2 linked regions of the Struthio camelus genome follow. The protein of the gene in region 2 interacts with the protein of the main gene of each other region in a pairwise test. Links are inferred from orthologs where the notes say so. Each region holds a gene or a part of one and is shown on either strand. Other genes may lie near its edges.

What was found.
Region 1: the proteins of DMD (region 2) and CTNNAL1 interact in binary tests that used the Homo sapiens proteins (3 or more experiments, as listed by UniProt). The two-hybrid records come from large-scale screens. The link is inferred for Struthio camelus from reciprocal best matches to the Homo sapiens genes DMD and CTNNAL1.

What each region holds. Positions count from the first base shown.
Region 1 is NC_090943.1:74,944,642-74,951,843, forward strand, and holds the start of CTNNAL1 (alpha-catulin), read left to right. Parts: upstream 1-4,187; 5' UTR 4,188-4,363; coding exon 4,364-4,489; exon of another isoform or gene 4,490-5,060; coding exon of another isoform or gene 5,061-5,084; intron 5,085-7,202. UniProt on the Homo sapiens protein: May modulate the Rho pathway signaling by providing a scaffold for the Lbc Rho guanine nucleotide exchange factor (ARHGEF1).
Region 2 is NC_090942.1:130,523,881-130,530,857, forward strand, and holds the start of DMD (dystrophin), read left to right. Parts: upstream 1-3,963; 5' UTR 3,964-4,023; coding exon 4,024-4,120; intron 4,121-6,977. UniProt on the Homo sapiens protein: Anchors the extracellular matrix to the cytoskeleton via F-actin. Ligand for dystroglycan.

The sequences.
Region 1 (7,202 bases), on a different chromosome or scaffold from region 2:
GTGCTTTCCCCTTCCACTCTGCTCCAACTTTATCCTCACCTGGAGGAAAGAGAGAGGGAGCTCAAGGAAAGCAATCTGATCCTTAGCCCTAATCTGATCCTTAGCACTAAGCTCTGCATTCCAGACTACAGCTGGTATATCTAGGAATATATATATCTATCTAGGAAGCAATGGAGGCACTACTTCCTGTTACCTCTGCATATTTGGGATGTCCTACGTGGGAGGATAAAAGAGCAATTACCAGCTTTTGGAATCCATCCTCAAAGTGTTATTAATTTAGGTAATTCCTATGTCTTATTTGATTAATTATAAATATACATGTAAAACTGCTCAGTTACCAAATTTACTGAAAAGTCCTCTGATCTCATCAGCTATTTTTTCCAGCATTTCCTTGTTCTCTGTGCTGTGTTTCCTAGACCAACTGCTCTTTGGGCCACAAACTTTTAGGTTCTTCTTCACAACACACAAGTTCAAACCTGTATTGACTGATTTCATTGTTACATGGTATCTGCTTTACTATGTATGTCTCAACAATGCACACATAACAGCTCTAACAACCTGTTTCCTAAGGGTTAGACACAAGGTTTCTCACAGTTGAAAAGGTTTCTGCCCTCATTGGTGACCTTATTCCAGTCAAAATGACCAGATTAGCAAAAACAGTTTTACCGTTTAAGCTTAACCTTAATCTCATTTTGCTTTAAATAGCCCAGGGAAAACACACACACACACACACACATCTTAGCTGGAAGGTAAGAGGAGGTGCTATTCCATCACCTGGACAGTGATGACTGGCTAGAAGGTAAGCTGAGGCTGATTGGCAACCTCTTCAGACAAGTCAAAGTACAGGTGGAATAAGATGTGTTTACTCATTAGTACATTTCATATCATTCCCATTAAAGCTAAGAGGCCATCATCCATGGCCTAACTATGCGTAAAAGCTCAAAACAGCTCTCCTTCTTAGGAGAGTTGTCATTGTTGGGGCACATGGGACATTAGAGAACAGACTGAGACTTTTGGCTCAGCCATGTGCTGGGCTGTTTTCTCCTACAAAAGGTGCATCAGGAAGAAGAGGGAGAGATGAAGAGCTAGACTAGGGAACATGAGAAAAGCAGGGACTTAACAATGCTGTGGTTTACCTTTTATGTGGGAACCCAAGCTTGTGGGAGATCATGGACAGAGGAGCAGAAGGTGTCCCATCCTTGGGTAAAGTCTAGAAGAGATATGAGGAAGAATAGATTGACCTGTTCATAATGCTGTGGGGATACGAAACACTTCCTTCCCCTTGATAACTGACAAAGTTATGAGGTTAGAAATATAGTCCATTAGGCATGACTCTTGTCCTCTATCCTTGTACTTCAGATACCTTTCAGATAACAGGTAGAGGTGAACAGTAGTAGCTATCTAGAAACTGCAGTGGCCAGTGGTCCTCCTCCTGCATTATAGGAGTGAGGAGCATTTTCTTTGGGATGGTGGGCTATTGCTTTCCTGAATCTGTCACATGGGCTGAGAATGATAGGAGAAAAACATTCTAGCTCTGTGCATTATACATTTAGACTGCTCCCTCTGAAGTGTGTGTTGTCATGCCAAAGGTGTAGTTGTTATCTATCACAGTGGCTCATTCAAATTGCCTTAATATAATTAAAAAGCACAATTAACCTCCAGGCTATCATGTTTGAAGATCTCCTCAAGATATCTTCAAAGATGTCAGTATGCAGCATTCTAGAGCTTTTCAATTGTGTTAAATTAAAACCATCACAAAATGCACTGTTTGTCTAACACAGGACCTGGAAGCAGAGCATGTGGTTTCCACGTTTAAACTGGAAGGACATGAAGTGAGAGAGCTAGACAATGTTGTCACTAGCTTGACTTACTAATGCTACTTCTCTAGTGAAGGCAAAAGGAAAGGAGAAGACAGTGGTAGATTGTGAATAGGACTTCTGCCTGCAGAAAGCAGTTGCAAAATTCCTACTCACAAATCAGGACGTTTGCCCAATCTGAGTAGAAAAGGATTTTAAAATGCTATTTTTGTTGTCTTTTTTTTTTTTTCCTCAGGACAAAACTTGTTTTCTTTTTCAATGTGAAGTAAAATGGTGCAGGGAAACTATATCCCAAAGGAATGTAGTTGTCTCTCCCTCTCTCTTGCACTACTGACACTTTGTCTGATGTATGCCTCAGCTCATACAATCCAAAGTCCCCTGTACAGCCTTGTGGAGTTTGCATCCAGGCTTGTCCTAAGCACTAAAACATAATAGAAGACAATAAATGTTCTGGAAGGCTTAGAATCAAGGTATTGAGAAAGATATAAAGGGAGAACAAATGATGTGGAAAAGAATGAGAGATGTTTTAAGTAAATGGATAGAATTTCAGAGAAACAGAGGAAAAAAAACAAGAAATCACAAGTGTGTTCTAAACCACTTTTATCAAACATGACTCACATTTATTTCAAAGTCTACCCCACCATCTAAATGATTTTGTACCACAGTAGATTTAAGTCTTCAGTTCTTTCCTGTAATACTTGATGCTGTAAAGGTGTCATTTTAGAAAGTATGATATGAGACCATGTTTAGAAAATATGATATGAAACCAATTTCCTGAAGAGCTAGGAATAGGGTCATACTTTTATCTAGGGTTATACTAGTAGTTCTGACAATTTTCTTTTTTAATAAATATGGAAGACTCTGTAGGACAACAGATGCTATCCTTTTTAACCTTCTGTCCAGGTTTCAATATTTAGCTAGAGATGTTGTAATCAAATAGGTCAGAAGTGTTTCTGAAGACAGAAAATGAGACAAAATCTTTGTAAAAAATGTAAAAAAGCCAAAAGACATTTTACACAGTTGTTTTGTCTGAGCTCAGAGTAGTTAAACACAAATCAGTTCTGACTAGGAAACTAAATAGCTATGTTAGAGTAGTTCGTGAGCCTAAATCCTAAGTAGGGCTTGTTGGCTCCATGCATTGAGTTACCCCCATTCTGGACTAGAGCTGCTCTGCACCTTGGTAGTTTGGATCACAGCCATAAGAGCTTGCTACTGTTCCCACAAGTTTGGGCAGACAGGCCTGTAGAAGAATCAGCATTATCAAATACATAGTCAGATTAGATGAGTAAGCAGTCATGCATTGATATTTCTAGACTATAGGTCATAAACTAATGTGGGGAGGTGAGTTTAGTCCGTTCCTAAAGCCAAAGAAAACATTCATTCATTTGAAAATATTTTTGCATTCTTCTTGCTAAATCATCCATAGATGTTCTGCTTTAGCACCAAAGCTGGGTAATGTCAGATACATATGAAAGTTGTCCTCTAAACCAGCCAATGTGCAGGCATAGGAAACAAATCATTGAAAGGAGGGAGGTGAGTTTTTCACTGGGAGGCTGCAAAAGGGGAAGAAGAAATTTAATTTAATACAGCTAACCAACCTTTGCAGAGATCACATAAAATAAACTAATCTTGACTTAAATAATCTTCAGTAATACAGTGACTGTGTAGCTAACTTTCCAGTTCCCCCTGTACCCGTGTCCCTGATTTCCTGCCTGGGACTACCCTTCCCCTCAAATTTGTGCTGGCTAGGGTGGGTGAAGCAGAAGTCTGGCTACGCACCTGGACTCTCGTTTTCTGGAAGGCTACCCAAGCCCTGCAGCCACTGCAGAGCGTGGACCCTTGCCCCAGCTGCAAACATGCACAGGGAAGAGACTTCCACACCCAGGCACGGATCCTCGAACCTGGGTGTTTCGACCCTCCGACGCCGCCATCCTGGGAGAGGCCGCCTACCTACGGCAAGGAAAACGCAAACCAGGTCGGGGCGGCTGCCGAGGGGGCAAGCACCAGTCCTTCCTCCAGCGGCTCGAAAGTTCAGCGTAGAGCCCTGCGTGGGCAGCGGGGAGGTAGCGAGGCTGATACGGGACACGGGTGCCACTCACCCGCCCAGTCCCGGGAACACGGCCGCAGCACGGCTGCACTCGCTTACCCGCCGCGTGGGGGGAAGGGGAAGCCGGGAGGCTACGCGCGCTCGCCTGCGCGGCGGGGGTTGGCGGAAGCGCCCCGCTCCGGGACACGGCGTGGGAGAGGCGAGTGCAGGGTGGGGGGAAGGCTGCCGGTAGTTGTGGTGCTAGCGCCTGGTGAGGAGAGTGCAGAAACTGGAACTGTCGCTTTAAATCCCATCCCATCCCAAGGGGGCGTGGAAGGGGCCGTGGGGGGGGGGAGGAGGTTGAGCGCGCGCGCGTGCGGCATCTCTGTGCGCTTCGGCAAGGCAGCGGTGCCCTGGCTGGCGGGGGCGGGGCAGGGCAGCGCAGGCTGTCGTGTGGGTAGCGGCCGGGAGGAGGGGAGTTGGTTTCGAGGGAGTTGGGGGTCCTTCTCTGCTCCCCGCCATGGCCATGTCTCCGTGCAGCAGCAGTGGTGTTTCCTCGTCGTCCTCGTCGGGATTGGGGACGGACGCAGGACTGGAGATCCGCACGCGCTCCGTGGAGCAAACGTTGGTTCCGCTGGTGTCGCAGGTAGAAATCCGCACCGCTGAGCCTGTCCTCCCTCCCCCAGCCGGGGGTAGGGCGGAAGGGAGCGGTTCCAACCGCCGGCGGAGGCATGGCGCGGGTGGGTCCGGTTGCCCCCCTTCTCGGCCGGCTCTGAGCTTGGCCGCGGCAGAAGTTTGTGCGCTCGGCTCTCGCCGCTCTGTAGTTCCCCTGTTTGCGGAGGCAGCTTCACTTTGCTGCTCCCTCTCCCTCCTGTTTTCTTCTCAACCAGCATCCTGGTCCCGGAGATCCCGCTGGGGCTGGGTCCCGCCATCTGGCCTGGGACGGGATCTCCCGCTCCTTCAGGGCCCTGTGCGGGGGAGGGGGCAGGAATGCCGCTCCCAGAGGGCGGCGGGCTCCGGAGAGGCACCTGGAGGGGTGCGCGCCCTCTCACACGTGTCCCCCGGTAAAACTCCTGGCGCCGAAGTTTCCCGCAAGGTTGCGGTGGCGTTGCGTAACGCCTGTGGCAAGCCACTGCGTTGCCGTACGTGTTTTAAACGCGGGATGCTGCAGTTTGGAGCGCAGGAGCTGGGAGACGGCGTTGGTTTGGCTTCTCTTCATGTGCCTGAGTGGTGAAATGTGTGTAAGTTATGCGGCTGGAACTATTAACGTTGCTCTTAAAACAAAAGTATTTCAAGAGGCTTTTCAAGTCTCTTGCCTTCGGTTTTTCAGCTTGTGAATATTCTCTTTTTCTAACTTTTTGATACTGGAGAAAGCAGTCGATTTTCAGGGGATTTGTCTAAACGTAGTTATTTTCACTGTCAGGCCTGAATGTTGCATTCATTTGAATTCTGATCACATCCGAGGCTACTACTTGAATTTTAAAAAGTTAAATAACATGTAAACTGTGCTTTTGTGACCTCTTAATGTGTCCCACACAGTGCCAGCTAGGCTTAAAAGTCTGATTTTTTTTTTTTTTCTTCCCTAAAGTGGTCTTAAGTGGTGAATGTATGTGATTCTTTAAGTGGTAAATATATGCAGACCACTTCATTTTATCAACTCCTAAGTTTCAAAATTAGAGTTTGATACACCTGATAAATTTGTTCTTCTTTGTGTATATTATTTTGATTCATTATTTTTCAGTATTTTCTTTATAGTATTTTTGTGCTTTTATACTGGTTATTTTTATACTGGTTATAAACGTTAGCAGGTAGAAACCTATGACATCCACACAAAGTCTTTATACAATGTGTAGCATTCATACAAAAATCACTAGCCCTTGTGATGGAAAGTGGTATCTATACTAACATAGCCCATCTGGAAGCAAACTTTTGTGAGCCTCATTTTGCATTTGTAACAGCCAGGCATCAGGAAAGGTTTGCAGTAGGGTAATTGAGGTTCTGTACTTACCAGTGCAGTTAGTTGTCCTCTGTTTAAAGAAGTCTCCATCAGTTCAAAGAATTCCATCTCCAGGATTTTGCTTTGAAGGCAAAATCAAATCAAAGATAAAGTTCAATGAATTTTCCACTCCTGAAGCAATTCAGGGAGGTAAAATATTGAGACTACTTTTAGGAAGCTTGAAAACGAACAAGCAAAGAAACAATTGCAGAGGGCAAACTTAATTGCAAAAGTTTAAATTCTTACTTTTGACAGATCTCTGTGAAGAATTCTTATTCTTCTGGAATAATAATGGTGGTCTTGCTTCATTGTGGATTCACTGCACATGTAACATGTCATGCATGATTTGTTGTTGACCACAAAATCTATGACTGTGTCTTCCAGAAATGTTCCACATCTTTCACGTGTACAATACAATGTGTTCTGAGCATTTCTGAGTACTCAGTTCTTATTCTTTTCCTGGTAAAGTGCTCTGAACTTCAGGTGAGCTTATTCCCTTGAATCTTGAGTACTAAGAGTTCCAGTCAGATCAGCCTATAAAGTTGCTAATGACGTCAGCTGTAGGGCATTCCATAGGGCATGTTCAGTGAACTACTTGCTGTGCTGTTTTATGAATTCTTTCTTTACTATTTCTTGTAAATTGTTAAGTAGAGGTCTGGCTGTTAACTGTAGGTTTTCTTTGCTTGGGTATTTTTGCAGAAATGGTGTTTATTAATATAGATTGTTTTACTTGTTTCTATATGCTGCTCAGTTTACACGAGCTGCGTATCTGCAGAAGTGTTTGGGACTTTATTTTTCTGCTTGTACAAAATACACTTGCAAAGTTTTTTTTTTTTTTTTTGCTCTGAGGTTAATAAGTTTATTTCTGGAACTATTTTGTTCAGTTTAAAAAAAAAAAAACTTGTATTTGTATGCTACTGGAAAAAAATACTCAGAGCGTTGTTATTGGTTTTCACTACTTCTTTTAAGCAAAGAGGAAGACAATAGGATGCTATGTCTGTCAGACTCGCTTTCAATCTCCTTTGTTTAGCCAAACCTCTTTTTCCTTTTTTAGCAAAAAATGGCTGCGTAGACCCTTAATTGATGCACTGTTTAGTACATTGTACTAATTGATGTATAGTACTTTTTTTAAGGTTAGTATTTATAAACTTGAGCTTGGTCTTCATTTTACCTGAATCTGTTTAGAGCTTAATGTGGCCCTTTTATAATAGGGCCACAACTGCAGACTCAAGCCACAGTATTCCATATTTACTAATATTTTTTTCTAACTGTCTACATATCCATACTCTGGACAGAGTCATTCTACAGTATAGCACAAAGCATATGTGATAAAATTCAGAAAATATGGTTTTATGGGTCAAAA
Region 2 (6,977 bases):
TATGAACAGCTGACTTTTATCATTATATGTGAGGAATTCTATAATTAATAAATAATGAATATAGAAGGCAAAATTATAAGAATTATAATTAATAAGAATTATTAATAAGAGGAAATAATTAATAATTCCTGCCTGTGTAGTACAAACAAACCTTCCGATGCTCCCTCTGGAAGTGTTTATTAATATAAACATATCTAATACATCATTAAGGTGTTTTCTTGGGTGGCTTATTGAACAAATTAGTTATTTATTACGGGAGGGGTGAAGTAGGTAAGAATACCGGTAAACAGCGAAAAAGCAAAGAGAAATAGATTTGCTACCAGGAGACATATTAGCACAACAAATGAACATTTTTTTGCCAGATAAAATCAGCATTCATTTCATATCAGAGAGTGCATCATGTAGAGCATGTGAGGCTGAATTGAAGGTCAAGGCCAGTCTGCTTGCTTCATTTTTCAGTGAACCATTACCTCCTTGTGCTTAGTTGGAGTCATTAGTACCTCCAAAGAGGAAAACTAAAGAGAGAAATGGCAACAAGAAGAGATTCTACAGGGTATCATAGTTATCACTGTAATGTGCACACACAACCATAATCAAACTCACACACACTGAATAAACCAATTAGTCGCTCTAGTAGCAGTGAAGCAATTAAAATGTATAGACATATCTGCACCATAAGTTGTAGATGGACTAGGAAAAGAGAGGGGCTTTCTTCCTTTTTCACCCCTTTGTCAGCCAAATAGACTGGAATTTCTCAGCCTGCTGAGTTCAATACTGTAAAAAGTAGAATTCTAGTTGGTCACTGTCATTCCACTTGTCATTTATTTCTGCTTTAAAACTGGGGACAGTGCTGTATTAGAGAAAAAAATACGTATTTGTGTACTGAGGAGTCCATGTCGATGGAAAGCTGCAGTCGAGCTTTCTCTCTAAAGCAATTGATTCCATAAGGGTGGGTGACTATAATTGTAACTAGATTCAGCATCTGCATAGATATAATAAGCAGGAACCAAAACTGTTGTTTTCTCAGACAAATGCAGAAAAGCTAGACCAAAGCCAGCTATTAATCCGGCCTATTAGTATGTGGACGGAATGACTGATACTGGTTTCTCCTCCCAAATTCTCCATTTGTCTCTGAACTCTTTTTCTATACAGATCATGTAAAGAGAAGATGCCCATACTGGTATATTACAGTTCCCTTCTCCAAACAAAATTTTTTTTCCTCTTTTTTTTCCAGGGGCAAACCCAGCTCTGATCTGAAGAGGAATGGTCTGTGCAGCTAAACTACAGGATGTTGATTGTACGCTGTGCTGGAGGGCAGTAGTATTAAACAATATACCCTGATGGATCCTCCTTGTAATACCATGCTTATCTCTCTGGAAATGTTTTTCATAATTTCTTTTTTGTCCCCTATTAGCCATGCCCTCCTTTTTGTACTTCCTTCTAAGGGGCTGGTTTCTGTAGTGGGAAAAGATTCTGCTAAAAATCTATATTTATGATGCTGCTATACCAGATACCCCCATTCTCTTACCAGCGTTATCTGGCTTATGTACCTACAAAGTATTTTTCCGAACATGTCCATCTCTAACCTTGCATAGCTCAAAATTCGTTGAAATAGAAATCAAGTCTGCAGTGAGTTTTTACTTGTCTTATCATTGTGAAAAACCTACCGCACAATTACAGGCTATATGAGCTACAAACTCAAACTTTTCTTTTGTGAAATAACATTTAAATTCCTTGCTACTGACTCTGTGGTTTAAAAATCATAATGCAGTGTGAAATATTAAGCATATCCTTTTATATACTTTGAATTTATGGGGACTTCAAAGACAGTCCTCATTTATTGCCTGGTTTGTTTCACTTCAGAAATGACTTGAACTGTGAACAAAAAGGAAGTGACAATATTTTCAGATAGGCACTTTATAGTTGTGCACTTTGCAACTATACGATAGGACTGTCTCTGCTGCCTTGCATGCAGGATTAGCTTGTTGATATGTGCTGCTACAGACAGAGGAACAGATGCAGTAATTCTACTTTATTTACATGAAATCTCTAAAAAGACATTTTCTGGCAGCATGCTAGGAATAAATACGGTATCAAATACAAACTGCACCACGTTATGTGAGCTTATTCAGGTGCCAGCTGTGCCATTTAGATACAGGCTAGAGCAGGCAGTCGAACCCTAACAGCAGAGCTGGGAGGTCTCCCGCGCTCGGCACCCACCGGTGCCAGCTCATTCCCAGCGCTGCCTGTGGGGTCGGGGTTTGCACCCTGCTGCTGCCCCGTGCCTGTGGCCAGCGGCATGTCCAGGCTTTGCTGCTAACCTCGGGGATCAGCTCTGCAAGCAGCGCAGAGGGATGTGCCCTGCGCCGCCCTTGGGGAGAGCGCTGTTGAGGGAGGCTGAGAGGTAGCTATGAGACTTCCTGAATTGTTTTTAAAAGTAGTGAGAGATTCTCTTGCCTTGGGGTTGTGGGTCCCCCCCCCCCAGACTTTCTCTGATATATAGCTCTCCTAAGCTCATGTTTTCTAGCTTTTTTTCATAGCCTTTGGGTACTTAACTGAGAATAGGAAATTGTGGGGAGGAAGGGAGCAAAGCGGTAGGGTTGGAGGGGAAAGCATGGAGAAGCTAAACACATCTATTGGAGAGAGGATTTTTTGTTTTGTTTTGTTTTTAAGAAAAAATGAATCTTTTGCGCTAGGAATGCGAGAACTGGTCCAGAGCTGGATGACGCAGCGAGGTAAAGCTCCTTGTGAGGGACTGTGCCCTTTCCCCTTCGTCACTCCTTCTTTTGTCATTGTGTAAAGGCTGGGGAGGTGAGACTCTGGTGTTAGTCCTCCTCCTCCCTCCCTACTTCGCTTAAGTAATGTATTGTGGCCAATCAGTTGCAGTTTTAAAAAGCCTTTTTTTTTTCCTGGCTTAAGCATTCAAACTTTTCAGTGTAGTGTTGGGGATGTTTATTCAATCTCTGTGCAAGCAGATGCATTAAAGATGAACTGCCGTGACTCTGAATTTCAGGCAGAAGCGGTGGGAGGAGACCCAGCTAATTTAACTTGGTGGATGATTGATGTCTCTTTGTCAATTTGTATTAACACTCATTTGAAATCCCTGACGCAAGCCTGCTTCCCCCCTCCCCCCCACCCCGACAGGAAATATAAATAGAAAGACAACAGAACAGTCCTACCCCTTTAATTCCCAGTACTCAGAAGCAGTTAAGTGAACTCTGTCATTATGGAGTGTCCTCCACAGCCTGGCGAAAAACAGCTTCTGGCAGTGTTCTTGCCACTTTAAGAATATCAAGATGCTGTAACAGAGCTATCCACTTACTGCTAGAATGTATAAAACACAAAAAAGGGAAAGTCACCTACAGGTAGATCTAGATATATTGCTTAAAAATCTCCTGTTTCTTCATTAGACAGCCATTCACTGCAATGAAAGAGAGCTAAATATAATTTGTCGAGGTGTAGCTCTGAAAGCCACGTTTAAAATGAAACAGTTGAGAGCCTGAATGCACAGTACTGTTATTCAGAAGTAGCTTTAGAGCAGAGAGTTTCAATGGGAAGGTGCTGTTTAGTTGGACACAAATCAGCAAGCATTTAACTGAAGTGTGAATAAACCAAGTGTGCATGAGGCGCAGTGCTTTCTGCAAAGACGAAATGCAAAAATATTAAAAAAAAATCTTTAAACACTTGCATCAGCCTTAGAGGACGGTGTGAGCAGCAGGATGCGAAACCGATTTGCAGATGCACTCTCTTCAGGCAGCGAGAGTGCTCATTAAATGCAAGATGCTTCTGGGGCTCGCGCGTGCACACGGAGGTATAGGTTTGCAAGACTGACGTATCAGATAAAGTCAGAGTGGTTACCACACCGACGGAGTAGCAGCTGCATAATAAATGATGGAGAGAATCATGTTAGGCATGCCCACCTAACCGAACTTGAATCATGCGAAAGGGGAGCTGCTGGAATTCAAATAGACTTTCTGGTTCCCAGCAGTCGGCAGTAATAGAATGCTTTCAGGAAGATGACAGATGCAGGGAGAAGATGCTGTTTTGCACTATCTTGATTTGTTACGGCAGCCAACTTATTGGCATGATGGAGTGACAAGAAAAGCAGCTGGCATGGAAGGTAGGCTTATCAAAGCTATTGCATCATTATGAATGTAATTAGAAAGTGACCATGACAAAGCATATGTTAGAATGAGCTGCGGCTGACGGCAGAGGATTTGTTGCTGAGGTCTTGAAACTCTGGAAACAATGTTCCTTTTGCAAAATGGATTTTGTAATTTCATTTCTGCTTGTGTTACTTTTTTCTTATGCTCGCCTCTAAGCTCAGGGAATCCCTTGCCTGAAAGAGAGCGTTATGTTAGGATGAGGTTGAAGACTAAAGTCTTTTCTAAGTCTGTGAAGCCTCAGGTAGATAGAAACAAACAGATGTGAAACAACACTGGCAAAGGCTCCATATGATTTACCAGCCAGCTCTGATTGATGTATTGGCATATTGAGGAATCCCACGGAAATGAAGATGCATGTATTAAATGTGTTGATGTAATGAAAAGATACTACTGCAGGTTTCTGCTTTATAGTTACTCTGACAGGTTTTATTCCCCATCAGTTTTTAGCTCTTGACATTTATTCGGTTGTTCAGTATTATATAAAGAAAATACATCAATATCTCCTGCAGGGTTTTTCAACAACTCTGGCATCTGTTTCAGCTATTGAACTGTATTCACGTTTTGCCAACTTGATGTCTACCCAGCTGGTCTATCATTTCTCGCTTGATTACTGCTCTTAATTTCTCTGTATCAGCTTGTTTCAGATAGGATTTTGAAAGCTGTTAATGAGAAATGACGGCAACTGCTAAATTATTGAGAATTGGCATATTGTCTTATTTTTGAAACATCAGAGAGCAGTTTTGCATGTATTTTATTAAATTCATATTCCATGTTGCAGTAATGTTTTCATATAACCACTACATTTTAGCCGTGAATACTTTAAACCAGATGAGTCATAAGTATAACTTTAGACTGCCTGTTTTAAGAAAGTTTGAGATCATTTAGAGGTGCTTACTTTGGTCTAGGTATCATCTATATATATGTTCCTTCATTCTGTCTGTCTCCCCCCACCAGCCCCCCAACATATATACTCCCTCTCTGTCGTGGTGAGCAATCCTCAAGTGTATACTGTACATATTGAAATATATTTTATCACCACTAGGGTGAAACTGCTAAGCAGTTCTGAACAGGTGATTTGAACAGGTTTAAAACAGATGTCAGCTGTGTCAAAGTGGATTGTTCTGGGTCTGAAAAGGAAAAGTGCTGTTTTGTGAGAGTAAGGCAGAGGCTTATTTTGCTTCACCTTTGGAGGTACAACAACCATTCAAACACTGCTTGATAGCCCCCAGGAAACAATCATTGGATTGGATTATTTTGTAATACAATGTGCTTTCTGTAGACGCTCTTCATGCTTAGGTATATCTTTTTTTTTTTTTTTTCCAAAATGATATTCAAAAAATCTCCTATCACACTGGATGTTCACTTTCTAACTTTGTTTTAAATTACTTTGCTGGCTGTAAGCTAGGTAGTCTTGCCAGAAGAGAATCGGGCTATTAAAGGCTAAGTGTTGCTGACTAGATCTATAACAGTTTTTAAAAAGATAGGTGTTTCTAGATACACAGCAGTGAACCAGCCTTTAAAAAGTTTGAAAATAAAGATCAGTAAAACTATACTCTTAGGCAATTTGAGCATTTTTGTGCTTTGATCACCTCTGGGAGGCATTTTAAATTATTTTATAACTGCTAGGAGGGAAGAAGTGCTTATTAATGGACAAAATCACTATCAGGTTTGTATAGTCACCAGTAGTTCTATGATTTTGATGATAAAAACTATTGTTATGCTATTTCAGAGAAGTTCTGTTAGGTTCAAAGGTAATTTGTCCTTCTTGTTGATTATAAAACCATAGAGAGAATAACCCATATAAGCAGCTTAAGTGTCATTTACCTTTTCAGGGTAGCAGTAAAACCATTTTATATTGCATGAGGTATACTTCTGAAGCTGTTGGTTGTTCTTTGTCACAAGACTGCTGGCTGGCTATCATCAGACGGTAGTTATTTTAAATATTATTTTGCTTGTGATGACAGTATCATAATTGCATGCCATCTGTGGCCACCATCCAGCTGAAAAGTGATTTTATAGTTTGCTTCTCTTTTGTCAATAGTAGTTAGTTTTAGCTTTTTGTTTCGCTGATGAATTAAGAAGACACTAGGTGGAGCTAGCTATTGATTCTAAAGAGAGATACAGTAATACAGGCCTGTCTAATGAGCAAGCCCGTGTATGTAGTGATTATTATAAAATATAACAATAAAAAATAGGTAAAGCTTGGAGCTGGACCTTAGTCATGAAATTGGAGACCTGATGGCGTTAAAGGAAACGACTTCACCATTTTTCTTTCTTTTTATTATTTTATATCAGAGATGATAATAATAATAAAGCATCTATATTCAACAAAGAAGGCTGGGAAGCAAAAGAAAGGAAATAAAGGATGAAAAGAGGAGAAAAGCAACAATAGGAGCCAACAGATGCTTTCATTGCAGATACCTGCAGAAATCCAATCGTGTATCTGTCTTATTTTAGTCTGTTGCATGTAAATTTTTCTCTCTTCTTTACATATAAATCCCTCTTTCCTGTCTTCCTGATTTAATTTATATAGCTGACATCTGTCACTTTATAGTTAGCTATGGGACCAATGTTTTGAAATCATTTCTTGCAAGGGTGATCTAAAAGGTGTGCAGGGGCACAGGAAGTTGTCACTCACATGTTGGTTAGCCTTAATTAGGAAATATGTAAAAAGTTATTTATTGATAGAGGTGGAAGCTGATTATTTGCACTCCTAAATATTATTTTAGTTATTAAACCTTCAGTATAGGATAAGGATTCTGTAATCTTAGGTAGTGTAATCTTACTTTCATGTCCGTTTCCTGTTCGTCT